Linked DNA regions of Macaca mulatta. The protein of the gene in region 3 binds, or shares a complex with, the protein of the main gene of each other region. Links are inferred from orthologs where the notes say so. Each region holds a gene or a part of one and is shown on either strand. Other genes may lie near its edges. The genes, in order: USP12, USP46 and WDR20.

The links.
Region 1: the proteins of WDR20 (region 3) and USP12 are in contact, whole or in part, in a crystal structure (PDB 5K1C), measured with the Homo sapiens proteins. The link is inferred for Macaca mulatta from reciprocal best matches to the Homo sapiens genes WDR20 and USP12. Residues at the interface, in NP_653175.2 of Homo sapiens: Asn41, Ser42, Gly44, Ser45, Arg151, Ser170, Lys259, Ser260, Tyr261, Phe262, Gly263, Glu282, Asp283, Asp284, Leu285, His301, Lys304, Ser305, Trp306, Gln374, Asp375, Thr376, Arg516, Met517, His533, Glu534, Arg535; in NP_872294.2 of Homo sapiens: Glu207, Asn209, Thr210, Ser211, Thr213, His214, Arg217, Arg277, Val279, Phe280, Pro281, Leu282, Glu283, Leu284, Arg285, Phe287, Asp297, Met299, Gln342, Glu345, Tyr348, Thr351, Ser352.
Region 2: the proteins of WDR20 (region 3) and USP46 are in contact, whole or in part, in a crystal structure (PDB 6JLQ), measured with the Homo sapiens proteins. The link is inferred for Macaca mulatta from reciprocal best matches to the Homo sapiens genes WDR20 and USP46. Residues at the interface, in NP_653175.2 of Homo sapiens: Asn41, Ser42, Gly44, Arg151, Lys259, Tyr261, Phe262, Gly263, Glu282, Asp283, Asp284, Leu285, His301, Lys304, Ser305, Trp306, Gln374, Asp375, Thr376, Leu509, Arg516, Met517, His533, Glu534, Arg535; in NP_073743.2 of Homo sapiens: Asn205, Thr206, Ser207, Thr209, His210, Arg213, Arg273, Val275, Phe276, Pro277, Glu279, Leu280, Arg281, Phe283, Asp293, Met295, Gln338, Glu342, Tyr344, Thr347, Ser348.

Annotation. Positions count from the first base shown.
Region 1 is NC_133422.1:7,150,397-7,160,700, forward strand, and holds the end of USP12 (ubiquitin carboxyl-terminal hydrolase 12), read right to left. Parts: intron 8,172-10,304; coding exon 8,093-8,171; intron 6,752-8,092; coding exon 6,650-6,751; 3' UTR 3,533-6,649; downstream 1-3,532. UniProt on the Homo sapiens protein: Deubiquitinating enzyme that plays various roles in the regulation of the immune response and inflammation.
Region 2 is NC_133410.1:80,904,822-80,914,658, forward strand, and holds part of USP46 (ubiquitin carboxyl-terminal hydrolase 46), read left to right. Parts: intron 1-3,214; coding exon 3,215-3,298; intron 3,299-5,821; coding exon 5,822-6,019; intron 6,020-7,252; exon of another isoform or gene 7,253-7,350; intron 7,351-9,419; coding exon 9,420-9,498; intron 9,499-9,837. UniProt on the Homo sapiens protein: Deubiquitinating enzyme that plays a role in behavior, possibly by regulating GABA action. May act by mediating the deubiquitination of GAD1/GAD67.
Region 3 is NC_133412.1:175,489,050-175,499,351, forward strand, and holds the start of WDR20 (WD repeat-containing protein 20), read left to right. Parts: upstream 1-4,045; 5' UTR 4,046-4,081; coding exon 4,082-4,330; coding exon of another isoform or gene 4,331-4,366; exon of another isoform or gene 4,367-5,646; intron 5,647-8,084; exon of another isoform or gene 8,085-8,219; intron 8,220-8,532; exon of another isoform or gene 8,533-8,649; intron 8,650-10,302. UniProt on the Homo sapiens protein: Regulator of deubiquitinating complexes. Activates deubiquitinating activity of complexes containing USP12. Anchors at the base of the ubiquitin-contacting loop of USP12 and remotely modulates the catalytic center of the enzyme.

The DNA.
Region 1 (10,304 bases), on a different chromosome or scaffold from region 3:
AAAATCTTTTGATAGTCTCAAACTCTTTCAAAACCTTGAAGAGGGTGGAACATTTCCTAACTCATTCTATGACACCAGCATTACCCAGACACCAAAGCCGGGTGAAGACACTACAAGAAATAAAAATTACAGACCAAAGTCTCTGATCAATATTGATGAAAAAATTGTCAACAAAATACTAGCAAGCTGAATTCAGGAGCATACTAAAAGTATTATGCACAATAACCAAATGGATTTATCCCTAGAATACAAGGATAGTTTCACATATGAGAAACAGCATAATGTAAGAAAACACGTGATCATTTCAATTGATACAGAAAATTTGACAAAATTCAATACCCTTGATTTAAAAAAAGCCACACCCAAACTGAAATAGAAACATGATAAAGGCCATGTATTAAACACCCACAGATAGTACTGTACTATAGTAAAAGACTAAAAGCTTCTCCTCTAAAAGTACAAGACAAGAATGCCTACTTCCACCACTTCTATTCAATGTAATATTGAAAGTTCTAGCTAGAGCAATTAGGCAAAACAATAAAAGTCATCCAAATTTGAAAACAGGCCAGGCGCGATGGCTCACGTCTGCAATCCCAGCACTTTGGGAGGCTAAGGCAGGTGGATCACCTGAGGTCAGGAGTTTGAGACCAGCCTGGCCAACATGGTGAAACCCCATCTCTACTAAAAATACACAAATTAGACGGGTGTGGTGGCAAGCGTCTGTAGTCCCAGTTACTCGGGAGGCTGAGGCAGAATTGCTTGAACCTGGGAGGTGAAGGTTGCAGCGAGCTGAGATCATGCCACTGCACTCCAGCCTGGGCAACAGAGTGAGACTCCACCTCAAAAAAAAAAAAAAAAAAAAAATTAAAAAAAAATTTTTGAAAACAAAGAAGAATTATCTGTTAGCAAATGGCATGATCTTATACATAGAAAACCTTAAAGATTCCACACCAAAAAAAAACTAATAAAGCTAATTATTCAGCAAAGTTGCAGGACACAAAACCAACAAGCAAGTATCAGTTGCATTTCTATATACAATGAACTATCCTAAGAGGAAATTAAGAAAATAATCCCATTTGTAATAGATCAATAATAAAATACTCAACAGACCTGTACAATAAAAACAACAAAACATTGTTCAAAGAACTTAAAGACCTAAATAAATGGAAAGACACCAGTGTTCACAGACTAGACTTAAAATTGTTAAGTCAATTTAATCTTCCTATCAAGTACCTGGGATTATAGGCATAGAATTTAATCTATTGTCAAACACTACCCAAAGCAATCTAAAGATTAAATGTAATCTTTGAAAATCCCACTGACAATTTTTGCATAAACAGAAAAAACTAAGATTCGCATGAAACTTCGAGGGGCCTTAAGTAGCGAAAATGATCGTGAAAAAGAACAAAGTTGGAAGACTCATACTTCCTTACTTCAGAACTTACTACAAAGCTACATTAATCAAAATAGTGTGGTACTGGCTAAGGTCAGATAAACAGACAAATGGGACAAAAGAGAGTCCTGAAATAAACCCTAGCATACATGGCCAACTGATTTTGGCACCTCATTCATTGGGAAAAGGAGTCTTTTCAGTAAGTGGTGCTGGGAACAGCGGGTACCAACATGCAAAAGAATGAAATTGACCCTTACATCACATACTAAAATACTAAAATTAACTCAAAATGGATCAAAGACCTAAATGTAAGAGCTAAAATAATACTCTTAGAAGAAAACACAGGGAAAAAGTTTCATGACATTGGATTTGGTGATGCTTTCTTAAGACATACCAAAAGCAAAGACAACAACAAAAAAAATTAGGCCAGGTGAGGAGGCTCACACCTGTAATCCCAGCACTTTGGGAGGCTGAAGTGGGACGACTACTTGAGCCCAGGAGGTGAGAGCAGCCTGCGTAACATCGTGATACCCCCACCACTACAAAATATTTAAAAATTAGCTAGGTGTGGTGGCACATGCCTATAATCCCAGGTACTTGAGAGGCTGAGGCAGGAGGTGCACCTGAGCCTAGAAATTTGAGATTGTAGTGAGCCACTGTGATTGTGCTACTGCACTCCAGCCTGGGTGGGAATGGGACCCTGGGGAGGAAGGGAGGGAAGAAGGCAGGAAGGGAGGAAGGAAGGAGGGGAGGAAGGGAGGAAGTGGGGAGGGGAGGAAGCAGAATGCAGGTTCACAGAGGCCGCGGGAAGGGAAGAAGTATGGGGAATGACTATTTAATGGGTACAGAGTTCCTGTTTGGGACAATGAAAAGAATTCTGGAAATGGATGGCAGTGGTATTTGCACATCGCGAATGTACTGTCACTTAACTGGACGCTTAAAAATGACTAAAATAGTAATTTTTAGGTTATTTTACCACCACCACAACAACAAATCTCTTGGTAAGGATAGCCATGGTTAAGGGCTTGGACACTGGAGTTACACCTACTTGAAACCTGGACCTGCTACTTTCCAGCTGAGTGGCTCTAAAAAGGTACTTAACCTCTAAAGAACCGTAGATTCTTCTTTTGTAAAATGAGGATGTCACTGTCTCATAGATGTGGTTAAGATTAACATTAAAAGAAGTAAAATACCGAGCACAGGGGCCATCACATAGCAGGCTATCACCCAAAAGCAATGGGTTGTTATTTCAGTAGCTCTGCAGACAGAACAGAGACACGGTTATTACAGAAAACACATGACTGAAGAGAGATGGGGAAAACTTTGACATGTTAACAGGCACAGGTACTGGTAACGGGGAATCATGAAAAAAAGTTTGTGGCAAGGGACTCTCAGCTTTTCAACAGTTCATGAAAAACTTTCAGGTATAGAGGATTTCATTTACTAAAAGTTCCATAAGAAGTGTGTGATACAGATGCTTAGAAAAGAGAATGCGATCGCAGGTCCAACTGACAGTATAGTTCACCTGTCACTGTGCTTGTTCTAGGCACACTCTTTCAGAGACATGAATGAAAAACAGTGCTTCCAGAACAGGGCTCCCAGGAAGGATGAAGTCTTGGAAAGCCACCTGATACAAAGATCAGCCTTGAGATCAGAGGCACACTGGGAGAATGAAGGATGGACTGAAAATAATGGCAACGTAAGTAACAATTCAAGTTACTCAGTAACGGAACCGGCTTCCAGCACTCAAGTGCAGGCTGACTGACCACTTGTGAAACAGATTTTACAGGAGCAATTACCACACAGGAAAAGAGGAGGAGCAGGAGAAACAGTAACCTTTAAGGTATTTTACCTGTTTTATCCTCTAAGATTCTATGACTCTCAATTTTCAAATTTAAACTTTGAACTTTGCAAAGACATGCTATCACAGAAACATGATACAAGCTACTATGTGCTAAATAAATGCAGGCACATGTAGAACGTTGTTTTACACACATGCAATTCTGTCCTAGGGAAAATCTCTTTGGATACAGAAGTAGGAGCTTGGGCAAAAGTAGTAGCACAATTTCCGAAGTGTCCACTTCTAATCTGTAAATACATTTTAGGCAAAAAGGAAAAAACACACTTAAAACCCACAGGCACAAATAAACCAACTTTAATAGATATTATTTTATATTTATATAGCGCCTTCTTCAAGAACCTTAAATGCTTTACAGACATTATCTCTAATTAATCCCCACAACAACCCTGTGAGGTAGGTATTACTCCCATTTTACAAGACAGGGAGACTGAAGCACAGAGAGGTTAAGTGACTTGCCCAAGGTCACACAGTTAAATTCACTGAAGAGCCAGGACATGAGCGCTTTAGCCTCCCAGCTCCCAAATACCTCATGATAGAATCTTTAATAAAAAGTGTTTTTAAAGAAAGTATCAAGAGTAGTTATGAAAATGAGGTCTTTCTACTGCCATCAAGGAAAGAAAAAACCCTATACTGATGGTTAGAGGCCCCAAGACCCAAATAATACAACATTTCCTTCTTTCCCTGTTCCCAAGCCTCCTGGTTCCTGTCTTAAATAATCTTTTAAAGGTAAAATTTCCAAGACAGAAGCCATGTGACTTAAGAAGTGGGATTTAATTTAGAATATTTACTTTTAGTTACAATAATTTATAGAAATTTTTATTCCAATATACAAAATATGGGACAGCCATCCCAATAATCATGTACATAGTTACATAGCAATCGGCCACCATTTACAACTTAAACCAGCCCTGCATTTTAATCACAGTCAACTAACATACAACCTCACAATGCTTTCTTCATGGGTCACTTTTCTTACTTACTATACCTGTATTTTTCCCCCAACCCTGACCCTAAATGTTTTAAAAGTATATTGAGTTTCTTCAAAACATTTTACTTAGATCCAGCTGCATTAAGAAGAAAAAGTAAATGTAAAACTGTGACCCCACAGTCCCTCCCCTGACAAATCATACTATGAAGTATGATGTAGATGTGAATAAGTATGTGATTACCAGGAACTCAACACATATACTAGAACTTGCTTTAATATGAAATGTAACTTGGCTTTTACTGCATGTTTTTTCTTTAATGCAAAAATGTAAAAACAAACACAACGTAGTATTTCAATGCTGTACCTTTATGCAAATGACTTCATCTATCTTTTCTTAAACATGTTGTGATATAGCTCATGTTAAAACTGACACAGCTTCACTTACCTCTTTTTCTCTGTACTGAAAGCTGCAGAAATACAGCTTTAATTCCAAGACAATTTGGTTTAAGCCCTCAAAATAAAAAGAGCGCATCCACTTTCACTGCCCTGACTTTCCCCACATTGTTGATTGTGATTCTCTGTGGCATGTTGGTAGATAAGGCTGGCTATATATAATTTGTACAAAACATCTCTAGCCAGGGTAAGGCTTTAGAAACTATCTTAAAAAGAAACTTGTCAAAATACTTTTGATATTTAGTACAAATACTATTATTATAATTTTCTCCCAGCACATGTGTTTAAGCAGCCCAATTACCTAAGTGACCCTGTTAAAGGTCTGCTTATGGAACAAATAGGTGAAGTCATTTCCTGAGCCAAAAGATACAGATAATAAATGTTAATAATAGCAGCAGACTAAAAAATTCCTTTTTGTTGTTTGTTTTCCATAGTCATCAGTTTTAGCAAAAGAACTTTAGCAAATGACAATTTTTTTTTTAAATTTACTGCCTGAAAAGAATTTAATAAAGAACATCCAAGGCCTGATTGCTATTATTCTGAATATAATTTTCAATAATTTTCTGCAAGTTACATTCGGCTACTGTCAGACAACTTTCTGATGCATGGAAAACCGTCCAAAAAAACTGCGACGGTTTGCATACATTTTATGTTACATATATTATTTCTTAAAACCCCCAACAGAATGAAGTCTTAGCAAACACAAATTTTAATTTCTGAACACCCTTCCAGTAAGATTGTAAAGGTGCGGGGAAGGGGAGGAAGGACTTGTTTTTTGTATTCCTAGTCTACTTGATTAAAATTTAATCTTCAAAGGGTTTGTTTAGCTCACTATCCAGGCTGCTAGGGTTATGATGAACATTATTACTTCTTTCCAGGGTAAAAAAATGACATCTGAAAATAACATAAATGCTATGACAAGATATTCCAAGCATGACCTCAACTTGAAACATTAGAATACTTAAGAATTCTAAAGATTGGTATACCACCACTGCACCAGAATTTTTAATTATTCCAACAACTACAGGAATTTTTTTATAGTTTTTTAATTTTATGAAATTAAAGCTGAAGAAAATAACTGATTTAGAAACCATAACAAAAGGACAAATACTTAGCCAGAGATATCAGTTCCTCCTGAAAAAGGATATTTACCTCCTCTCACTGCAGTTTTTCTCAAGGTATCTTACTGATTTCAGATAGAATTTAAAATTCACCTTAAAAATAGAAACAAACAAAAGGACTACTTAAACTGACATTAACTGATAAAAATATGTTCAAATTTACTGACAGAATCATGGGCACTTCATACAATACTTAGACTCTACCAGTTTTAAGTAAAATAAATAAGGAAAAAATTATAATTACAAAGCCAGTCTTTCCCCTTGGGGAAACAAAAAGCCACTTTTGACCAATTGCTCCCTACATATACATACACTGTATATTATTATAAGCTTCTTCAGAGAAGCAAAACATCTTTGTCTTCCCGACACTGGATTATCTAGCATGTTAGGTTTTACATCAGGAAGGCAACTGCAAGTGTTGGGCCCAAAAGTATTTCTGGTTGACTCTTGAAAAGACACCGAATATGCTTCTATACACATTGAACCAGGCAAATTTATGCAGTGTGTTCGACATCACCTCCTTATCAATACAGCACAGATCCCGATTCTTTCTACTGCACTCCCAAGGAATTCAAAGCATTATTGGTGCAATTAATAAAGAGAAAATGCGTGTCAATGACTGGAAGGCTGTTTTACAAGAGGAGCTGGTATCTCTGATTTCACCTCCTTGTTGAATGGAACTGTACAGACAGCATGATACCTGAGCAAATAAATCAACTACCATGATCGGAAGGGCTTGTCAATCCATCGTCTTTGCTTTATCGTGTGCAAAGTGTGCTACTGCCCCCTGAGCTTCCTGCATTTCTCTTTTCTTGAAAAATCAGTGCTTGATCCTTTCCAAAATAACCAGAGGAGAAATGAGGCAGAAAGTATCTCTTCATCACGGTTCCCCCTCAGTCCCGAGACTGATAGAAAAGGATGTAACCAGACTCAGAGTTCTTTGAGATATCTGATGTCAACCCGTAGAATTCTTCAATAGCCTGTGCATCTATTTTCTGTGAGGCAAAATGTAAACATTAGTACATAAATGAGCTCTGTACAGTCAGATGGCTTAAATTTAATAGACTGATAATACCAAGTATTTGGGGAAAATGGAACTCTCATACATAGCTGGCAGGGCACTCTGAAAAAATGTTTAGAAATACCTATCTTCTAAAGCTGAACATACAACTACCCTTTGATCCAGCAATTCTACTTCTAGATATAGGATGAATTATATGAAACCACTAATAACTATTTTGGACCTACAAAATGGCAACTTCCAGGCCGGGCACAGTGATTCACGCCTGTAATGCCAGCACTGTGGGAGGCCAAGGCTGGCGGATCACCTGGGGTTAGAAGTTCAAGACCAGCCTGACCAACGTGGAGAAAGCCCGTCTCTACCAAAAATACAAAATTAGCCAGGCATGGTGGTGCATGCCTGTAATCCCAGCTACTCGGGAGGCTGAGGCAGGAGATTCACTTGAACCCAGGAGCTGGAGGTGGCGGTGAGCCGAGATCGCACCCTCGCACTCCAGAAGCCTAGATAACAAGACTCTGTCTCCCAAAAAAACAAAAAGGCAACTTCTAGTGGTCCAACCTAACATATACCCAAGAAAAATGAGTGTATACGTCTAGCAAAAGGCTTGTAAAAGATGACCAATGCATTTTAATTCACAATAGTCATTAACTGACAAAAGGTCAAATTTCTAACTTGGTATATTTGTACAGTACAGAATGACAAAGCAGTAAAAAAGAACTGCCATTACTGCAGGCAACAAGAATGCACCTCACAAATATATTCAGTGAATAAAGTCTGACACAAACAAAATCATACTGTATGAGTCCATTTATATTCAAGCCTAGGCAAAATTAATGATAAAAGTCCAAATAGCAGGCTCCAGGAGGAAGCTTAAGTTCTGACCAGAAGGAGGAACAAGGGGGCCTGCTGTGGTGTTGAAAATGAATTATATCTTGACCTGGATGGTAGTTACAAATGTGAGTGTGTCTGTGTGGCTGTGTGTGACGGGGGGACACACATATACAAATTCATCAAATTCAGACTTGTACACTTTACTGTATGTATGTTACATGGCTTAATTTTTTTTTTTTAAAGTCAGGTCTGTTGTTGAAAGCTTTCCTTTGTTTTATTCCACGTGTGTAAAGGTTACGTGACCACTCAACTGTTGGGCTTGGACGTTGTAGAGTAAGAAGTAGGAATCAGACTACAATCCATAGACCCAGACATTTGTCTCATAATCATCACCAGTCATATCTAAATGAGAAACTATCAGAAAATAGTGAAAAGCAACATATGCATAAAACTTTCAAAAATAAGAGATTAAGAAACTACTTACTTCTACAATGTCGTCATCAAACAACAACCAAAAATCATGACTCTTAACTATTGCAATATAATGGCCTCGATTGGGACCACTAAAACAAACAAAAAAGAAGTTAATTTAATATGATATTTATTAATATTACTCTTTCATGCTCTAAATTTTATGTTTTATAGAGAAACTGAAACAAATAGCAGTAAAAAAGAACTGCTTCTTTTTTATACCCCTTAACTATTCTTTCCAAAAAAGATAAAGCTACACTGAGTTGAACTGGTAATCAATTTTAAAATCAAATAATTAGTACTCTAAGAGATTCTATTCACATAAAGCTGCATTATTGAAATTCTTTCCTGTCTTTGTAATAGTTTTCAATTTTGCTTCTATAATAAAAGACAAGGTTTTCTATCATTTTATAAGGGAGGGGATCACAGCAGAACATGCTGAATTCAACTATAAAACAATGCATACAAGAATTATTTCTAAGCCTCACTCCCTTGGTAATAGTTTTTTTTCTTGAGGAAAGATCCAACATGATGCTTGAAACAGGCAAGGATATCAAATCCTTGGTTCCAAAATCAAGCCTGAACTTCACAAAATGTCTTTAAAAGCAAATGACCTTTGCTCAATGGTGAGTCAATACGAAGTACCTAATTCTTAATACCATTATAACTATTACTATGATTGCCCTTGCATCTCATTTTAAACAAATCTGGAATATATAAATGTAGACATGCATAAAAATAAAGGAGGCATAATTTCTTTCAAAAGCAATTCTTTGTTTTATAAAAGGATATGACAAAGGTTTTAACCTCTTCCAGTTTAAGTACGGTTCATTATAAAGGCTTATATAGTTATATTTATTCTTTGTAATTCTATAATTAATACAGAATTTGAAATCCTTTTCAATACAAATTATTCCTTACGCTAAACACTATTTTAAAAGTAGTGACCAGATTATTAGAATAAGCCACCTCCTAAAATGTCTTATGTTTCTCAGATCATTTGATCTTGTAGGTAAGATAAATACCTTAGGTGACAGAATGACACCAACAAAAACATTATTTTTTTTAAACTATGGAGGATGACACCTCAAAACTTTCTTTTTAAAAAGCATTTAATGCTTTATTAAGTCTATTTCTATATTTATTTAGGACTCATCTAAAGGGTCTTGTGTGTTATGGGGAGAGGGTCAGAAATGAAAACAAAATTATAAAAGGTGAAATCAAGAAAAATCAAAGAAAGGCTGAGGAACACAGGATGGAAGGAAAGGAGGTGGGTGGGGTGAGAACTAGTAAATTGAGAAAAGTTAGGCGGCTTTTTCCTTTGGCAAAGAACTAGTTTGAAGAACAGTAGACAAAAGTTAATTTCATAAACTAAAAATGAAATGAGAGATGAAGGGCTGAACTTCCACCTAAGGAAGCTGTTTCTTAGGCATCTGATTTCTGGACATTAAACACACTCAGTTGAGCAGATATAAATGCCTAATGTATGCAAGTAACTACTGACTGCTGTGGAGATTAAAGAGATTTCAACAACTGCTTGCCCAAATACCCCTTCAGTACAGAGATAGCTACTCCAAAAACATAATCCAAGGCAGAATATGATATAAAAGTAGAGCCACAGGAGAGACCGTATCCAGCAAGAGAGGAGGTGGAAGGGAGAGAAGGATGGGAAATCAAGAATCGGAGCCCAGTTCTGACATGGGCTTGAAGGGTAATACTTAGTCAACAAACATTTGCTAGAAGTCTCTTCTAGGCTGGGAACCAGGGATAGAGAAGGAGCAAGCTGAACTGGAACTGACATGCTGATAATGAGGCTGTGCACACCCTCCACACTTTCATATGAAGCAAATCTACAAATAAGTCTGACAAATAAAATACACAATGGAAAAATATTCTAAAATATGATTATCTTTTATTAGCGAGCAAATTATCTCCTGTTTTAAAAAGCACCTGTTCTCATAAGGGAAGCAGACATACATCCTAAGACAGTACACAAAGCACTAAGACAGGGCTAGCACTGCACATCTAGTATTTATGTGAAGACAACACGTGGAGACTGAGGCTGGGCAGAAGAGCGTCAAGGAAGACTTCCAGAGAGAAGAGGCAGGAAGGCATGAGGCAATGAGAGTGAGACAGGAGAGAGTAAGACCCCGGGGTAGGGGCGGGATCCCAAAGACCTACTGTGCAGAACTCCACCAGAAGTGAGTTCCCAGTGAAGGCAGACC
Region 2 (9,837 bases), on a different chromosome or scaffold from region 3:
GGGAACAGACACATCACACAACTGGAACAGAAGCCAGGGGTTGGAGGAGGGGCTAAACACTTTTAAATGGCCAGATCTCGCAAGAACTCAACCACGATGTATGGCGAGGACATCACTGGGAGGATGGTGCTAAACCGTTCATGAGAATTCTGCCCCCATGATCCAGTTACCTTCTACCAGGTCCTACCTCCAACATCGGGGACTACAGTTGAATATGAGATTTGGGTGGTGACACAGATCCAAACTATATCAAGCCCCAAAGTGTATTTTTAAGTAATATTTTATTGCTGCTCTGCCTCTTTTTAAAGCAATACAAAGAATTTTGTGTTTTTCTCACAACCTCTGCTCTATGCTTTGATAATTTATCCCAAGTGTGGGAGAGAGCAAGTGCCCCTCTGTCTTTCTCATTGAAGAGTTTCCTACACCACTGTTGCCCATTTTTGTTCTAACAGGTATAGAGCATTAACTGACAGCTGCTCTGCCTCAGCATTTACTGCTGGGGTCCTTCCCTTCTTCTAATTTACCTTCATTTTCTAATTCTCAACTCATGGATGCCCTAAGAGCATTACTCTGTCAGCGACCTTCTTTGTAAAATGGGTCTTTACATTAGGTATTAACTTCTGCTATATTTCCACCTGTCTGGGTGTACAAATCAAATAACTTTTTGGAAAAAATAAGAATGAGTAGGAATGAATGATTCCCTGTTTGTTGCTGGCCTTTCTTTGGCTATTGTGACCCTTTAGCTTGGTAGTACAGCTTGTCCACAGTAGACATTGGGAGGATATGAAGCTCCATAACGCCCATACTCACCTCCCTGCCTCTGGCTCCCTGGTTCCACTCCAGTCAATCCCATGCAGCCAAAACAAGATTCCACAGCACTTACTCAATTGAAGTATTCAACCAGCTAAGTATGAGTTTGTTTTATATACCACGTACTTGAAATCTGAAAGTTTAGTACATTTGCACTCTAATGGCTTTCTTGCCTTTTAGCCCTCTCCAATCCCCCCTCTACCATGCTGTCAAAAGTGGAATTTCCAAAAAGCACTACCTGATTATGTCTTTTCTTTGTTGAGACTGTTGGTTAGTGTTCATGCTGGTGTCTTGGTGGCGTATTCCAGGCTGTGTGACTTGCTGCCTGATATGATTTGGCTGTGTCTGCACCCAAATCTCATTGAATTGTAATAATTCCCACGTGTTAAAGGAGGGGCCAGGCAGAGATAATTGAATCATGGGAGCAGTTTTTCCCATACTGTTCTCGTGGTAGTGAATGAGTCTCACAAGATCTGATGGTTTTATAAATGGGAGTTCCCCTGCACATGCTCTCTCTTGCCTGCTGCCAGGTAAGACATGACTGTGCTCCTCCTTTGCCTTCTGCCGTGATTGTGAGGCCTCCCCAGCTATGTGAAACTGTGAGTTCGTTAAACCTCTTTTTCTTTATAAATTACCCAGTCTCAGATGTGTCTTTGTTAGCAGCATGAGAACAGACTAATACACCGCTGCTGCTATTCCCTACCTCCAGGCCTCTGCACTGCAGTGTTCTCTCTCTGGAGTCATTGACTCTTATTTGCTTGTTCACCTGGCACACTTTCCCTCTTTCTCTGTGCTTTCTCCTGGATTTTACACCTGCTTCTGTCTTTGTTGGTTCATTCATTCAACCAACAAATATTAATGCGTTCCATTGTGTGTCGTGCTGGGGATATAGGAATGACAAGCGCACTGCCCACATAGAGGGGAAGCAAGTAATCAAATGAACAGAAGATTGGTTTCAGATGCTGGGAAGAAATAAGACGGCAATGTGATAGGGGCTGGATAGGCTTGGACAAAGTGGCCAGAGAAGTTTTCTCCAAAGAGGGGATGTTTAGGCTGAGTGCTGAACAACCATGTTAGCCAGCCATGGAAGCTTCTGGGAGGAAGCTCTCAGTGCTGAGAAAATAGCACCTGCAAACACCCTAAGGTAAGAGGAGGATATCCCAGGGCCAGTGTGACTGAAGCAGAGAGGAGGCAGGGTGGATAAGTGCAGTGGAAACTGCTGGAGGGTTTCAGCAGGGGAATCATGTAATACTTTTTATTGAAGCTGCACTGATCGTTTCATGTTGTCAGTGGTTCATTTGCACGCATCTCTGTTGAAGTGTGAACCGTATGAGGGCAGTTATTCTCTGTGGATCCCCAGAATCTAGCCCAGAGGACTGGCAGGAAACATTTGGGGACTTAATGAATGAAAGAATCCGTGTTTTCTTTTGATGTGTTCTGTGTAAGTGGTAGAATCACCTAACACATTTTAAATAACATTTTATGTTTAATAAAATCTGGTCATTGTGGTGCTAGGACACTCTGTGAACAAGGAAATGTCCCAGAATTTTTCAAAACTGTAGGGTGTTAGTCCAGATGTTCTTTTCAGCCCTTGAAGCAGTACCACAGAAATGTTAAGTAGAATCTCGATGGCTGGAAAAGAATGAAAAACCATGACATTTAAAAAATAAAAACCATAAGTAGCAGAGTAGAACCTCAAGATAAGGCAGATACACATATGACAAACACAGTGGCTTTTGTTCTCCAAAGGGGGCAGGCAAAAGTTCATATCCTCTGGCAGGGGAGCAGTGGGGAGCAATGGTTGGTAGGAGGTGGTCATTTGATTAATTCAGGATTTCTTTAGTTCAGTAAGAGGGCAGTTTTGTATATGGTTTAAATTTCATTATCTTTACTTTCGTGCTCTTTGAAAATATGGACTACCAGAGAAATACTGTTTTTCATTAACTACACAATAATGTCACCTTGCATATTACCTGATTTCCTTTTTCGACCTAAGTTTTAGTGTTTATGGTGAGCTTTTACTCAACAGCATTTTTCTATTATGATTTTAGTTTCTAGCTTATAGGTATTCACCATTAAATCATGAGGTTTTTTTCTGAATCCAGTTGGAAACCCTAATTTGTATCTGCCTTTATATATCCCATAAATAAAACTATATTTGAATCTCTCATGGTAAATTCATGATTTGATGTAAAGAACATGTCTACCATCATAATGGCACCCAGTCTTCTTTTTATTTATCCTGTAGTTTCTCTTCCATCCTAGTTTTAAGTAGGGTTTTTTTTTTTATTACTTCTCCCATTTTTATTTAAAAATTACCCTACAGGTTAATTGAGGGATTTAAAACATGATATACCAAGTAGATTTGGACATTTTTTAAAGATGAAAATATTTTCCTCTACAGAGACTTCAGCAACACAGAAACACTGTGTAGTGAACAAAAATATTATTGTGAAACATGCTGCAGCAAACAAGAAGCCCAGAAAAGGTAGGTAAAGATTTAGCTCAGGGTTATCTTTGTGTGGTGAGAAGGTTCCAGACTGTGGGGCCCAGTAGGGTTGGCTTTGAATCAATCTCAGCTTCCTGGGCTTGTAGCCGTGGAACCTTGGGGAAGTCAATTACCCTCCTCACCAGTGAAACTGGGATAAGAACGCTGACCTTGGAGAGGACAACTTGGAGAGTTGTCTGTCCGATTGTTTACTTATTTGTTTATTCATTCAGTCATTCAGCAAATATTTGTTGAGCCCTGCCATGTGCCAGATACTATGCTAGATAAACAAGTAATGATTAAATGTAATCACTATTCTCTTGAGATTAAAGGTAAATTATATAAATACTTAGCAGAGTATATAACACATAGTAGACACCCAATATTATTTTTGTTTGTATTGCTTAAACATTGGGACCTCTTATTTAGAGACAGAAGTTTAAAAAATATATATCATTTCATAAGGACGCATGAGGAAATTATTAACACATCAGTTATAAGCATAGGTGATTAGAGGCTGGGCGCAGTGGCTCACACCCATAATCCCAGCATTTTGGGAGGCCGAGGAAGGCCAATCATTTGAGGTCAGGAGTTTGAGACCAGCCTGGTCAACATGGCGAAACCCCGTCTCTACTAAAAATACAAAAATTAGGTGGGTGTGGTGATGGGCGCCTATCGTCCTAGCTACTCGGGAGGCTGAGGCAGGAGAATCACTTGAACCCAGGAGGCAGAGGTTGCAGTGAGCTGAGATCGCACCACTGCACTGCAGCCTGAGTGACAGAGTGAGACTCCGTATCAAAAAAAAAAAAAAAAAAAGAAAAAGAACAGGTGATAAGAAAGTAAGTTATTGCACCATCTTTTCTGCACACCAGACAGTTACAGCTCTTGGAAAATCTGGAATAACCAGTTGTTCCCCATTAATCTGCTCCTACAAGCCAGGAAAGTTGCCATTTCAGTCATCCTGCAAAGGCTTCCGTGAGTTAAATCTATCGTCAGTGGTCTGGAGTATTCAAGGCAGCTGGCAGATGCTCAGTACTGCTGTCTAAAACCCTCAGGGGTTTAGACCTGAGGTTGAGATCATTTCTCTGCCCAGCCTTCCCAGGCGTTCACTCCAAACATGTACACTTTTCTTTGCTGCAAAACTTACAGATGGTTAGTCACTGTAGCAGGCAGGCCTCAAGGAGGTAGGTAGATATCTTTTGTTAGTAAAGAAGGTCACTCACGTCTGCCCCCCATCCTTATAACCGCAGTCTGCCTAAGACTGGCCTTGGGTCTTCCTTTGTGGCATTAAGATGTTTTTCGTTCAGCCCTGGGGAGTTTATACATTACAATGTCATGTGTTCCTGTAAAATATGGGGTTCCCCATAATTCTTATTTCTCTAGTGTTGTTTTACTTGCTTATTTGTATGAACAGGGCTTTTCCTTAATAGATTCCTTAAAACTATTCTTTTAAAATTTGTCCTTTTCACATACTATGCATTAAAAATGTATGCAAACTAAACGGCATTTACACTTAATTCAGTACATTCATGGAATGGGGGCCTGGAAGATAACTGGAAGACCCGTTATTCTAGCAGTATACTCTGCATAAACTGTTATCTTTGTGACTTTTTACTGAGGAATGATCAGTTACTAGGTGACTTTTTACTTTTTTTTTGTGACTTTTTACTGAGGAATGATCAGTTACTAGGTGAACGATCACCTAGTAAAAAACCTTTCTATGTTTATATAAGTTTGGGAAGTCCAACATCAAACAACAGAACAATTCCTTTACTGCAGGATTTCTCAAAATCTTCAGTGTGGTAATGTACACTTAGGATCTTCAAAGCAGAAAGTAGCATCGTCCAAACTTAGCCACAGAAACATCACATCTGTTAACATCTCCAGTGCTCTCATGCACCCAGTTTGCAAAATGTAGCCCTAAACCAACCCCTGCATTTTATAAATGAGGAAACTGAGAGCTAGAGAAGGGAAGTGACTTGCCCAAGATCACAAGGGTCGGAATGAGAGTGAGCCTGGCACGCTTGGTGTCCCAGTGCCCAAGAGTGTGTGTCAGAAGCATCCATCTCCTGCCAGTCCTCGGAACCTGTAAGTCCAGCAGTCGGCACCGTCTACCTTGTCCTCCTCCCATCTTCCTGTTCTCAAAAGCTCTCAACCCACCTCTCCATCATCTGAGGGGGTAGACTGTCCAAGTATCATTTCTCTCTGGAAGGCACAGGGCAGTGGTGGAGAACAATTGCACAACCTATTTTTATTTGTACAAAAATTCTGAAACATCTCCTTTCAACAAATAGACACACACCGTTGTACATTTCTCCTGCTGGGATGCTTCTGGGAGCCAGGAATGTAGGTTAAATCAGCTCTATATAAGCCAACATACTTTTATCCTTGCAAACTGTTTGGTTGTTTGCTGGTTTGAAGTTGGATAGAACTTCCTCGTATTCTGTTTGGGCAGGTGACAGTGTATTCTCTTCCCCTAACAGGTGTTGGGTACAACTGATTTTCTATTTCATGGTTTCTTAGGATGAGGGTAAAAAAGCTGCCCATGATCTTGGCCCTGCACCTAAAGCGGTTCAAGTACATGGAGCAGCTGCACAGATACACCAAGCTGTCTTACCGTGTGGTCTTCCCTCTGGAACTCCGGCTCTTCAACACCTCTAGTGATGCGGTGAACTTGGACCGCATGTATGACCTGGTTGCTGTGGTCGTTCACTGTGGCAGGTAAGGGCAAGACTGGAAGCAGACATACAGGGTAAGTGTAAGGGTTGCCCCTTCGCTGAAGTATATCCAGCTGCACCTTTCCTGGGCCGTGGCACTCAGTACTTTTGGGATATCTTCCAAACTCTTACTGATCATCACAAAAAATATGTAAACATGCCTGCAGACACATAAAATAAAGAGCATTCCAATAATGAAAATCTAAGTGTTCTATCATGAGAGAAATCACTTAATAAATCTCCTTTGCATGGAAATGATGGTTATGAGGAATTTGAAATAACATGGAGAAATGTCTATGCTATTATTTTAATTTTTAAAAAGCCAAGTTGCATTTATAGTATGATCTCAAAAGTATTTTAAGATGTGTAAATAAAGACTGGAAGCAGTGGATCAAGTTTAGTATTTTTTTGGCACTTTGAGTGATTAAAAATATATTCTCAAAAATATTCTTTGTTATTTTTATTCTTTCCCCAACATTCTGTAATAAGTATATAATCAGAAAAAAAGATAAGAGAGAGAAGGCCTCTAGATATGGAAAGGCAAAGCATTTTGCCGAAATCCTTTGAGCAGATTTTTTTTTTTTTTTTTTTTTTTTTTGAGACAGAGTCTCGCTCTGTCCCCCAGGCTGGAGTGCAGTGGCACGATCTCGGCTCACTGCAAGCTCCGTCTCCTGGGTTCAGGCCATTCTCCTGCCTCAGCCTCCCGAGTAGCTGGGACTACAGGCGCCTGCCACCGCGCTGGCTAATTTTTTGTATTTTTAGTAGAGACGGGGTTTCACCGTGGTCTCGATCTCCTGACCTTGTGATCCGCCCGCCTCGGCCTCCCAAAGTGTGAGCAGATATTTTTTATTCCATAATTTGGTATAAGGGAAGAAAAATATATTGAAAATTTACCTGTTTGTTATTCTTTGCTCAGCTGGGACAGGTGTATGTTCTGTCTTGGGAGTAGGCACAGCTTTCCCCCGCCCTCGTAGGTTTTAGATTGGGGCGTGTCACAGAGTAAGAGTCTTTCTCCGCCATCTGCTAAAATCGGATTATGGTGAACACACCATTACCAGGAGACTACCATTGCCATGCACAGGAATAGACTGATACATTTTTAATTGTGTACTAGGGTAGATGGCATCAGAAACTGTAACTTTACATGTGAAGCACCCCATATTTTATCCTGCACGTATTAACTTTAAGTCACTGGATGTTTTCTTGTATTCTCAGTAAAATGGTATTTATTTGCTAGTTATATGCCAGTTTTGTGGTGTTCTCCCTGAAGAAGAGCTGTTATTCTTTTGAAGAACACAGTGTTTCAGTGACCTGGAACCTAGCCTTGAGCACTGGGTGAGGCCTCACATTGGTGCAGGGTTCAGGAAGGTCTTAAGGCAGGCAGAGCCTGGGACCTGGTGGGCATTGTGGCTAAAGTGGGTGGCAGGGGTGGTGTGAACAGGAGGGCCCCTTGCACAGGGTACACAGGACTTTCAGTGTGGGTCTCTGTGGGTGCCCAATTCAAATCCTTGGGAGGACTGGCAGAGACCCAGGTGAGGGAACTGGACGTCCAGCGGGAGGCTGGGTTCTCTAAGGTCAGTTTCTGTACTGTGAGCACAAGGTCAGAAGAGCCCTGGTAGCAGAAATCAGTTGGTGCCAAGTCATGCATGCCACTAACTAGGATTCTTCAAACTCCTCCCCACAGAAGTAGCATTGTTCTCCTGTGTGGAGCAGGGTTGGCCTATGCATGTGGATTGGGTGGCTTCCAGGTAGCACTGGAAAGCTTTGAGGTTAGGGAGCTGGGCCTGCCTTCCCTTCCATGCCAGGAAGGCAGGCCCACAGTTGCAACAGGTGCATAGCCTCATGCATTGATTTCTGCTGCAAGTTTTTTTTTAAGCTCATATTTTCTGGGTTCCATGCCAGGATCTGAAGATAGAGTAACGAAAAGACACACAGCACAGGGGCCCTGCCCTCACAAAATTTATAATCTATCTGGAAAGACTGATAATGAACAAGTAAACACACTGCCCTGCTACCTCCAAAAACAAACCATTGCAAGATAATTTGATTTTGATCAGTGCTATCAGGAATAAACAGGGAGATGAGTGAGTGATGGGAAATACCTCTTCAGGTGAGGTGGTCAGCAGAGATTTATCTGGGGAGGTGACATTTGAGCTGAGGGCTAAAAAGAATGCAGTTGGGGGAGGATTATCTCTGGCAGAGTTTACAGCAATGCAAAGGCCCGTAATGTGAAGGGGGTGGCGTGTGAGAGGAGCCCGATGGGCTGGAGCTCAGAGGGAAAGGGAGACAGTAGCTGGAGGAGGCTGGAGAAAGGGCAGGAACAGATCATTGGCATCATCTTGTGTTGAAAGAGGGTAAACAAAGGGGAAAGTTTGGCTTTTTCAACTTTAACAGTGCGTTAAAAAACAGTTTTAGGTTTAGGATTAAAATCTCCTCACTCGTGCAAATCTAACCTAACTACATAGTGACAGCTGCTTAGTTGTCCTTTCTGCTTTTTTCCGTATAGCATAGTATATGGCTTTTTAACACTTGTTACTATGCTTATTGGTTTGTTAATGTCTTTCTAAAACACAGATCATGCAACTCCTCAAAATTCCCATTTCTTCCTGGCTTGCTCGAAGCAAAGCCTAAAATCTTACTTGCGATTCCTACACCTGCCCCTCAGCCCCCTCCGGTCTTCCCCTCCTCGCTCACTCTGCTGCTCTGGCCTCCTTTGGCCTCTCTGCTGTTCCTGAAGACACCAAGTGCTACTCACTCACCCCAGGTGTTTGCACTTGCTATTCCCTATTTCTGAAACTTCCATCCCAGAGTCACATGGCTTCTCCCCATGCCCTGACCCCAACCCCACCCCTACCCCTACCCCTGCCATTTCCTTCAGGGAAATTTCCTTCTGCTCACATTATCAAAGTGGCCTCCCTTCACTTTCCATCAAACATTACCTCCTCCCATCACTCATATCCCATTACCCTGCTTCATCCTTCTCCGTGACACTTCTCACCGCTTGACATACATTTATAACTTTAGTTTGTATATTGCCAATCTGGCCCCTACCCCAAGTCCTAAGTAAGTGAGGTCTTTGTTTTGTTCACTGCTTCTTCCCCTGACAGATAGAATAGGGCCTGGCACAGAATAGGTAGAGAGTAATTTTTTGTTAATATTTACTGAATTTGAGTGTCTGTTTTTGCTGCTGGATTATGAGTCCTCAGAAGACATCTCTTCTGTCCACTTTTGTATTCCCGTGTCCAGCTTAGTGTTGTGAACATAGACATCAGCTGTATTCCAAGTTCTTTATGCTGATGACATAGTTTGTTTCCCAGAGAATCACTGCGTATAAAGAGCTAAGTAGAGTTTTATAAAGAGATAAATGTTAACTTGCTGACTTTCTTTTAATTGTTCTTTTCCAGTGGTCCTAATCGTGGGCATTATATCACTATCGTGAAAAGTCACGGCTTCTGGCTTTTATTTGATGATGACATTGTAGAGGTTGGTTTGCAGATTATTCTCCAGTAGTCATAGAGCATCAATAGTATTTCAGGGAACGTATACGTATAGATGTTTTCTAAAATAGGCCTCTTTCCCCATAATGTAATTTGAAAACAACTTAAATTTCTATTCAAAACCAAATTCTGCGAATCCCCATGCTCCATGGAAAGGGAGAAGGGGTGTGATCACGGACTTACCGACAAGTGTTCTCTACGGTTCAGCCATAGACACGGGGTCTCTCTATCTGTGCCACCGTAAATCATACTTAAGTATAAGTCTTGTTTCTATCATGACTAAAGCCCCCTCTGATACAGGGCAAACAATAGACTTCAAAGTTCT
Region 3 (10,302 bases):
CAAGCCTGGGGGACAAGAGCAAGACTTCTCTCAAAAAAAAAAAAAAAAAAAAGGCCGGGCGCGGTGGCTCAAGCCTGTAATCCCAGCACTTTGGGAGGCCGAGGCGGGCGGATCACAAGGTCAGGAGATCGAGACCACAGTGAAACCCCGTCTCTACTAAAAATACAAAAAATTAGCCGGGCGCGGTGGCGGGCGCCTGTAGTCCCAGCTACTCAGGAGGCTGAGGCAGGAGAATGGCGGGAACCCAGGAGGCGGAGCTTGCAGTGAGCCGAGATCGCGCCACTGCACTCTAGCCTGGGCAACAGCGTGAGACTCCGTCTCAAAAAAAAAAAAAAAAAAAAAAACAAAGAAAGAAGAAGAAAAAAGAAATATCCAGTTTGAGGCTGGGTGCGGTGCCTTACACCTGTAATCCTAGCACTTTGGGAAGCTGAGGTGGGTGGATCACCTGAGGTCAGGAGTTTGAGACCAGCCTGGCCAACATGGTGAAACCCTGTTTCTACTAAAAACACAAAAATTAGCTGGGTGTGGTGGCATGCGCCTGTAATCCCAGCTACTTGGGAGGCTGGGGCAGGAGAATCGCTTGAACCTGGGAGGTGGAGAGGTGAGCTGAGACTGTGCCACTGCACTGAAGCCTGGGCAACAGAGTGAGACTCTACCACAAAAAAAATAAAAATAAAAATAAAATTGTCTCGCTTTTGGCCGGGCACGGTGGCTCAAGCCTGTAATCCCAGCACTTTGGGAGGCCGAGACGGGCGGATCACGAGGTCAGGAGATCGAGACCATCCTGGCTAACACGGTGAAAGCCCGTCTCTACTAAAAAATACAAAAAACTAGCCGGGCGAGGTGGCGGGCGCCTGTAGTCCCAGCTACTCGGGAGGCTGAGGCAGAATGGCGTAAACCCAGGAGGCGGAGCTTGCAGTGAGCCGAGATCGCGCCACTGCACTCCAGCCTGGGTGACAGAGCCAGACTCCGTCTCAAAAAAAATAAATAAATAAAATAAAAATAAAAATAAATTCTCGGTTTGAAATTGAAAATCAGAAATAAAATTAGGTCAGGCCCGTTTATTTATTATCTACTTATTTATTTATTTCCCGAGATGGAGTCTCGTTCTGTCGCCCAGGCTGGAGTGCAGTGGTGAGATCTCGGCTCATTGCAACCTCCACCTCCTGGGTTCAAGCAATTCTCTTGCCTCAGCCTCCCGAGCAGCTGGGATTACAGACATGTGTCACCACGCCTGGCTAATTTTTGTATTTTTAGTAGAGATGGGGTTTCATCATGTTGGCCAGGCGATCTCATACTCCTGACCTCGTGATCTGCCCGCCTCGGCCTCCCAAAGTGCTGGGATTACAGGCATGAGCCAACATGCCTGGCCATTCAGGCCTAGTTATTTAGTTTTGGGTGTTACTTATTGAATCTTTGAATATGGGGGAAGAAAGCTACGAGAGAAAAAGAATAAAAACAGAGATTATTCAAAGGCTATGCCTGGGGTCGGGTACAGTGGCTCATGCCTGTAATCCCAGCACTTTGGGAGGCCAAGGAGGGCAGATCACAAGGTCAAGAGGTCAAGACTATCTTGGCCAACATGGTAAAACCTCATCTCTACCAAAAATACAAAAATTAGTTGGGCATGGTGGTGCACATCTGTAGTCTGAGCTACTCGGGAGGCTGAAGCAGGAGGATCACTTGAACCTGGGAGGCAGAGGTTGCAGTGAGCTGAGATCACATCACTGCACTCCAGCCTGGTAACAGAGCAAGGCTCCGTCCAAAAAAAAAGAAAAAAAAACCAAAGGCTATGCATGAGACAAAGTGAATAGTCTATTACTGTGATTGTAATAAAATGTTGAATTTATATATGGTAAATCTTGATAGAATGCTTAGATTACATAGGTATTATGGGAAATAGAATGTTGTGGTTAATTAAGGAATAATACAAAATTTTGTTTTAACTTTTGCTTACTGGGTTTTTTTCCCCCATATATATACACACACATATATATATATATATATATACACACACACACACACACATATATATATACACACACACACATATATATATATACACACACACACACACATATATATATATATATATATATATATATATATTTTGAGACAGAGTCTGGCTCTGTTGCCCAGGTTGGCGTGCAGTGGCGCGATCTCGGCTCACTGCAAGCTCCGCCTCCCGGGTTCACGCCATTCTCCTGCCTCTGCCTCCCAAGTAGCTGGGACTACAGGCCCCTGCCACCATGCCCGGCTAATTTTTTTGTGTTTTTAGTAGACACGGGGTTTCACCATGTTAGCCAGGATGGTCTTGATCTCCTGACCTCAGCCTCCCAAAGTGCTGGGATTACAGGTGTGAGCCACTGCGCCTGGCCTTTTCCCCCCAAAATATTATTACACTTTTTTCCTCTTGATAATTAGGAAATACAGATAAATTATTTTTAGAAGATTCAAGATGTCACTATCCTTCAGGTTGATTATTGTAAAATATGTGTTTTCAATGTAAAATAGCACAGTTATGGAGTTTGGGATCTAGCCATGGGAACCACAGAACATACCTTGGTGTACTAAGATTTCTGATCTCGATTTGACTTTTAGGGAAAGTCGGATAACATCGAAACAATTCTAAGAAAAAATTTTAAGCATTTCTAAGGCTCTATTAATTAAGTAGGACTTCAGTGCTTTTTTTTCTTTTTTTTCCAACACAATGCAAATGTATTATTACATCACTGGCACAGTTTCTATTGGTATCTATTTGCTTTATAATACAGAAGATGTTTATGATTTAGATTCCTCCTACTTTAGAAATTCCCTCCATTCACTTCTTTTGTGTCCCTCAAGATATAATCTGAACTTTCAGGAATAGTTGATTCTTGGTGTTACAGATGTTGGCTTCCCTCCTCCCTGGAATTCTATTAGAATGTTTCTGTCACTTTAGAAACTTTCCTATTCTGGTGCAACATGCCAAGAAACCCAGGTATAAAATAGTGATTGTTTAATCTTACTTTGACACGTGTGCCCGTTCTTACAAATCTAGACCCTGTACATTACATGCATACAACTATCCCTATGGATCTCCTAGTAAATAATCTCACTGACTCCACCTGAGGCTTCTGGAAAAAAAAAACCAATTACCTTAAATTTTATTAAGAGCTCTTCGTAAACTACTGAGCAAGAGAAGTGAATCCTGCATAGATTCAGTCCCCGGTTCCCAGAGCGCTTCCCCGCCGCGTGTCTCTGAACAGTTGGAAAGGACAAACCTCCGCTAAGAAGCGGAGGCCGCCAGTGCTCACCACACATAGGAATTAGGATATTCATGCTGTACCACATTCTTCTCTACCCCTACCCGGCCTGAAATAAAACATAGTGAAGCGTAAATCTTGAGTACTTCGGTACCTTCTCAGAAACGGCGGCGAGGAGGCTTCCAAGGGGCTTGCTTCCTGACCGGGGATCAAGACGGTCGCGCGGGTAGTCAGCACTCTCTCTGGGCGGGACAGTCCCCGTCCCGAAGGGAGGGCCCAGGAGGGGTGGAGCCGTCCCCGCCCGAACACAGGGGCATCCGCGCTCCCTGTAGGGTACCCCGCGTGCTGGCCCCGAAGCGGTGGCAGTCGGGGTGGCGCTCTTCCTCCGCTCTTTGGGGTCCCGGCGCCCCTCAGGGCAGGGGGGGAGACCGCTGAGGAAGCACCCTCAAGTTCACCTCAGGCTCCTGACACCAGCCCCGCCGCGGTTCCCCATGATCGGCTTTCCGTTGGTCCTAGTGGCTGCGGAACCGTCAACTAGACCCCACCGGCTGGAACCAACATCACCTGGGAAGCAGCCGGGCCGCCCGGAGGCCACGCCCGGGGGAGGAGCCTGCGGACGCCCAGCCGGGTGGAGCACGCCAGGTGAGCACGCCTGCGCAGTCGGGCCGTAAACAAGCCCGCCCCTTCCCTTCGGCCCGCCTTCGCGGGGCTGGCCCGCGGGTGGGAGGGGCGACAAGGAAAAGGCAAGGGGTGGGGGAAGAGGGAGCACCGGGAACAGCGCCTGCGCGGTGGGCGTGATCCGGGCACTTAGGGCAGGATGAACGCTGCTTTCCAAGATGGCGACGGAGGGAGGAGGGAAGGAGATGAACGAGATTAAGACCCAATTCACCACCCGGGAAGGTCTGTACAAGCTGCTGCCACACTCGGAGTACAGCCGGCCCAACCGGGTGCCCTTCAACTCGCAGGGATCCAACCCTGTCCGCGTCTCCTTCGTAAACCTCAACGACCAGTCTGGCAACGGCGACCGCCTCTGCTTCAATGTGGGCCGGGAGCTCTACTTCTATATCTACAAGGGGGTCCGCAAGGTACCGACCCGGGCGTCACCGGGGTCAGCCAGCGGCGTAGGCAGAGGCGGGAGCAGGGCGGTGACAGTGGGGCCAGGGTGACCGAGGGGGTGGCCGTCGCTCTTACTTTTGAGTGGGCCGGTAACTCCCTCCACTGGGGTACTCCTGAGGAGAGGGGATTCAGGAGTAAGGAGGGTGGTGGCGGTGGCATTTCGAAGGGGTGGGGGCTGTGGAAAGGAACCGTGGGACGCGGGGTTCTGGCTGGGAGGCTCCCAGGGGAGCCGGCTGCGTCCCCTCCAGCCTGGTCCATCAGGCTCTGACATGGCCAGGGAGCGGGCCTGCGAGTCCCCGGAAGAGATGGGGTGGCCGTCTTGTCTGCTTCGATTGCCTCGCCTCCCTGGAGGGTTGGAAGTCTCGCCCTGGGTTAGAGAACAGGGGCGCAAGACGGCTTAACAAGATCTCTGTAAGGCGGAACTGGGGCCGGGAAGCCGGAGACTGAGACTAGGTCAGAAAGAACCTGCTCGGCACGCAGGGCTACTCCACCTGCTGCCGCACTGACACTTCCTAGGAGCCTCTCCTGGTGTTAACATTTCTATTTCCAAAAACATCCGCGGGAGGTCGGCTGTCAGTGTCCGCCGAGGGGACGTTCTGAAAGACTGTTAAGGAGAGTCATCTTGTCCCTTGTAGTATGCGAAGGGCTGAGTACTACAGTTGAAATGATGTTTGCAATGAACTAAGCTGGTTCAGAGGGGTTGTGTGTGAGAGTGCCCAGATTAGTCTTGTCCAACAAGTCAGACTGTGTCCCAAACGGGGAGGGATAATGCCTTAAAGGCTACTTTAAAGGGACCATCCTTCTTGGCGGGCGAGTTACCAGTAATGCTCTGAAGCATATAAGCATCCTTTAAAAGTATCTCTTTAAAAGCAGCCATTTATTAGAGCTTTTCTTTCATTGGCTATGTAACTGTGTTTTCACTGAGAATTGCTTAGTTTTGAGATTGTAGTCTTTGACTTGATGTTATGGAAGAGTGAGGAAATAAATGCATCCCACAGCACCTCCAAATAGGACAAGGTGATAAAAGATTAATTCGCAAATGCATGTTAGCATGAAAATAAATTGTTCATATTGAAGAGTGAACATTCCCTAGGATTTCATATAGCCAGATCCAGTGCAGGATTTTCGCTTGTTACAAGAGCTAGGGAAATGACAGTGGTATCTAAATGTAGCAAAGTTGTTTCTTTCATTCACGGTGAATCTTTTTTATTAGTGTTTATGATAATAAGTGTACCACTGTATTTAGAGTATACTATTAGAAGTTATTGAGGGTAAATCGCTTGACCTTTTTTTTTTTTTTTTTTTTTTTTTCTCCCTCTTTTGGAATTGCAAACGCTTGAAGTAGTCTTCAGTCTAGGGGCTGAAGTTTTACTCCTACTCCCAACTTTGTCACTGACTTGTTGGGTGACCTTGGATAAGTTATTTAACTTCTATTTGCACCTCTTTAAAAAGGGAATGTTACAGTGCACGTTGTAACTAATAATATAATAATCGTAATGAATTTTAAGGCTCTGAAACACTCAGTAGATGTAAAATATAGTTAAAGAAATACTAAGTAACTGTCAAATAAGAAGCTGCCGTCTTGACGTTGATGTTCAGAGTGAAAGGATTGATTTTGTTTCTGGAAATTAAGTTTAGAATTTTAAGTTTTAAAAATTTATATAAAAATACAATGTGCTTAAAAACTAAATTCACTAACTAGCAATTATTAATGCAGGAATTACTTTAAAATTTTTTTTTCTTTGAAGGTTATTACTTCTGAAGCATCCTAATGGCAAACCTTATCTGGATCTGGTAGCCCTGGTTTACATCATAAAGACAAGTTTCTTGCCTGAAAGGATCCTTACAATAGTGTTCTCTTTTAGTGGGACGCTATTCTCTGAAGGGTAAAAGGAGGCAAGGCTTTTAAAACTACACCAAAAAATTATTTTAAACAAGATAAATCTGAAATACGTAAATTGCCCTTACCTGCATAATTTGAGTGTTTTAACGTTTTTTTGGGTCAAATTTCATTTTCATGTGGTAGTATCATAGATACATTTGCATTATGTTGCAGATGTTTCTGCTCTCTTTTAATTGTAACTTAAAATTTTTTTTCCATTAATGAGTTTGCATTTATTGTTACTTCTGAGTGTAAGTGATTTTTTGTGGCTATTTTCTGATTTAAAATATAGGAAATAAATTTTCCTTAATTGGAAAACCAAGATTTACTCTTTAGAGTTAGTAGTTATAAACCTATTTTTGACCGATGGCCATTAAACATGTTTTTATTTTTGTTTTTAGAGACAGGATCTCATTCTGTTGCCTAGGCTGGAGTGCGGTGGCATGCTTATAGTTCACTACAGCCTCAAACTCCTGGGCTCAGATGATCTTCTCACTTCAGCCTTCCTAGTGGCTGGAACTACAGGTGTGCACCACCATGCCTGGCTAATTAAAAACAAAAAAATGTTTTTTAGAGATGGAGGTCTTGCCGTGTTGCCCAGGCTGGTCTTGAACTCCTGGCCTCAAGCGATCCTCCCACCTCAGCCTGCTAAAGTGCTGAGGTTATAGATGTGACCCACCACACCCAGAGCACAGTTGGCTGTTTTTTTTTTTTTTTTTTTTTTTTTTTTTGAGACGGAGTCTCGCTCTGTCGCCCAGGCTGGAGTGCAGTGGCCGGATCTCAGCTCATTGCAAGCTCCGCCTCCCGGGTTTACGCCATTCTCCTGCTTCAGCCTCCCGAGTAGCTGGGACTACAGGCGCCCGCCACCTCGCCCGGCTAGTTTTTTGTATTTTTTAGTAGAGATGGGGTTTCACTGGGTTAGCCAGGATGGTCTCGATCTCCTGACCTCGTTATCCGCCCGTCTCGGCCTCCCAAAGTGCTGGGATTACAGGCTTGAGCCACCGCGCCCGGCCTACAATAATTATTTGGATTATTCAGAAGATCTAATTTAGATGTATAAATTCAACTTAAGTCTGCGTGTAAAATGAGTAGAAAATAGGTGTTTTAAAGAACTTAAATCATGAATTACGTGCTACCTTTCCTGAGAAAAAACATGGGGTCCTGGGGAAATGGAGTAGGTGAGGAAGTAGTCTAACATTCATGCTAAGGAGTTGCAATCTTGAGCCTTTTAAAAGGTTTACAGGTGTCTGGAGTTAGAAGGAACTTTAGAGTTTGTTATTTCACCCTCGTCAGAGAACCGAGGCCAGAGAGGGGATGCAAACCTGTTAGAATTTTTTCTCATAGTAAGGAAAATGAAGCACAGCTGAGTCTAAACTATCTTAGAAGAGACTGATCCGGCTTTTTGATCACAGGGATATCATATATTCCAAGAACTTATAGAATCTACCTCGGCATTTTGCCATGTATTATTTTATTAAATTCTTGAGGTAGATTAAAACATCTTTTCACAATTGAGGAAGTTTAAAATGGGGTTTCTTATGTGAGGAGATGTAGTTTGGCAAATTTATTTAACTAAAGACAGTATTAACGTTGATTTAATACTGACACTAATCATTTCACCAGATTTGAGTGACTACTGTGATAGTAACGATACTAGGCAAGGTGATGTGAGGTATTCAGAGCTAAATAAGACCCTGTCCCTCTCCCCAAAAGACTTTCAATTACTAGCTTTCAGACATCTTTATTACATACTTTGTTCTTCTTTTTTTAAAAAAGAAGTTGTGGTCTGGTGCAGTGGCTCACGCCTGTAATCCCAGCACTTTGGGAGGCTGAGGTGGGAGGATCGCTTGAGCCCAGAAGTTTGAGACCAGCCTGGATAACATATCAATACCCTGTGTCTACAAAAAAAAAAAAAAAAAAAAAAAAAAAAAAAAAAATTAGCTGGGCATGGTGGTATGTGCCTGTAGTCACAGCTACTTGGGAAGCTGAGGAGGGCTCTTGAGCCCAAGAGTTAAGGTTACAGTGAGCTATAATTGTGCCACTGCACCCCAACCTGGGCAACAGAATGAGACCCTGTTTTTAAAACAACAAAAAGGGGGAGCGGGGCTGCGCGCCGTGGCTCACGCCTGTAATCTCAGCACTTTGGGAGGCCGAGGCGGGTAGGTCACCTGAGATCAGGAGTTTGAGACCAGCCTGGCCAACATGGTAAAACCCCGTCTTTACTAAAAATACAAAATTAGCTGGGCGTGGTGGTGCTCACCTATAGTCCCAGCTACTCGGGAGGCCAAGGCGGGAAAATCGCTTGAACCTGGGAGGTGGAGGTTGCAGTGAGCCGAGATCATACCGCTGTACTCCAGCCTGGGCGACAGAGCTAGACTCTGTCTCAAAAAAAAAAAAAAAAAAAGGTTGTTTTTAGGATATAGGATAAAAGATGCCAAAGGTAAGGTAGCTGGGCTTATTGGACCAATCCTCTCTTCTCATTTTATGGATCTCTGTTTTTACATAAATACGAATGGCCTCCATTCAGATCTCAGCTTAACCATCACTTCCTCAGGAAATTTTGCTTTGAATCCCCATGGTGTAACAGTTTTCCTCTATTACATGGTTTTTTGTTTTGTTTTGTTTTTTGAGGCAGAGTCTTGCTCTGTTACCCAGGCTGGGGGCTCACTGCATCCTCTGCTGCCTGGGCCCAAGTGATTCTTATGCTTCAGCCTCTTGAGTAGCTGGGATTACAGGCATGCGCCACTGTGCCTGGCTCATTTTTGTATTTTAATAGAGACAGGGTTTTGCCATGTTGGCCAGGCTGGTCTGGAACTCCTGGCCTCAAGTGATTCACCCGCCTCAGCCTCCCAAAGTACTGTGATTACAGGCCCTATTATGTGTATGTGTTCTTAGAGCATCCTGTACTTTGCCTTCCTAGCACTTTTCTGAATTTGTAATTCTGTGTGATGAGGCAATTGTGCCTTCTGTAAACAAAGCTCCCTTAGAATAGTGACCTTATCTTTCCTTCTCTCCATCTTCTCAATGCCCAGTGCAGTGTCCAGTTTAGAGTTAGGCCCTTACTGTGTATTTGTTGAGTAGATGACTGAGTAAAGCCATGTCTATGCCAAACTTGAAAGAGATCTTTAGAAGCTGAAAAACCTATTCAATTTTGGGCCCGAAAGTAACTTGGGTATTTTTTAATAGCTCATATCTTTTAAAAGACATTTAAAAATATTGCTAGTAAGTAACAAATTTAACCTTCTTAAAATAGGGAAATTGTATAAGAGACAATGAAGTAATAGTAAACAATTGATACAGATTACTTTTGATCTACTTCTGTCAAACTATGTCACCTACAAGATCCATGTACAACTTTTAAAAACTGTACTCAGGCCAGGAGTGGTGGCTCAAACCTGTAATCCTAACCCTTTGGGAGGCCGAGGCAGGAGGATTGCAGGAGTCCAGCCTGGGCAACACAGTGAAACCTCATGTGGGTTTGAGACCAGCCTGGGCAACATAGTGAAACCCTGTCTCTACAAGGGTGGGCGTGGTGTCATGTGCCTCTTGTCCCAGCTACTTGGAAGGCTGAGTTGGGAAGGTCACTTGAACTGGGGAGGTTGAGGCTGCAGTGAGCTGTAATTGTGCCACTGCACTCCAGCCTGGGCAACAGAGTGAGAGCCTGTTTCAAAAAAAGCCAAAACAATCAATAATAAACAAAAACTATACTCAGAATGACTTAACATTCAAGCCAAAGAACCTTCCTACCTCCCCACATCTTAAGATTCCAGGCCACAAATGTACTGCCCAGAGAAGTTACTGAAGTGATAACTACAGGAGGTAGGAAGTAAATTTAGAGGGTTCTAAGGTTTTTCCAACTCTAAAGGTTGTATGATTCTGTGCTCAGGTTTTTTTTTTTTTTTTTTTTTTAGTGAAAATGGATTCATCATTCTATTGGAGAGATGTCTTCATCTCTTTGATTCATTGCCTACTTGATTTGGAATTGAGAGGGGTGGGGTGTTTGGGAAAGCAAGCTGAAAACATTGTGATTTTTAGGTCTTTATGCTAGAAGAGTTTTTT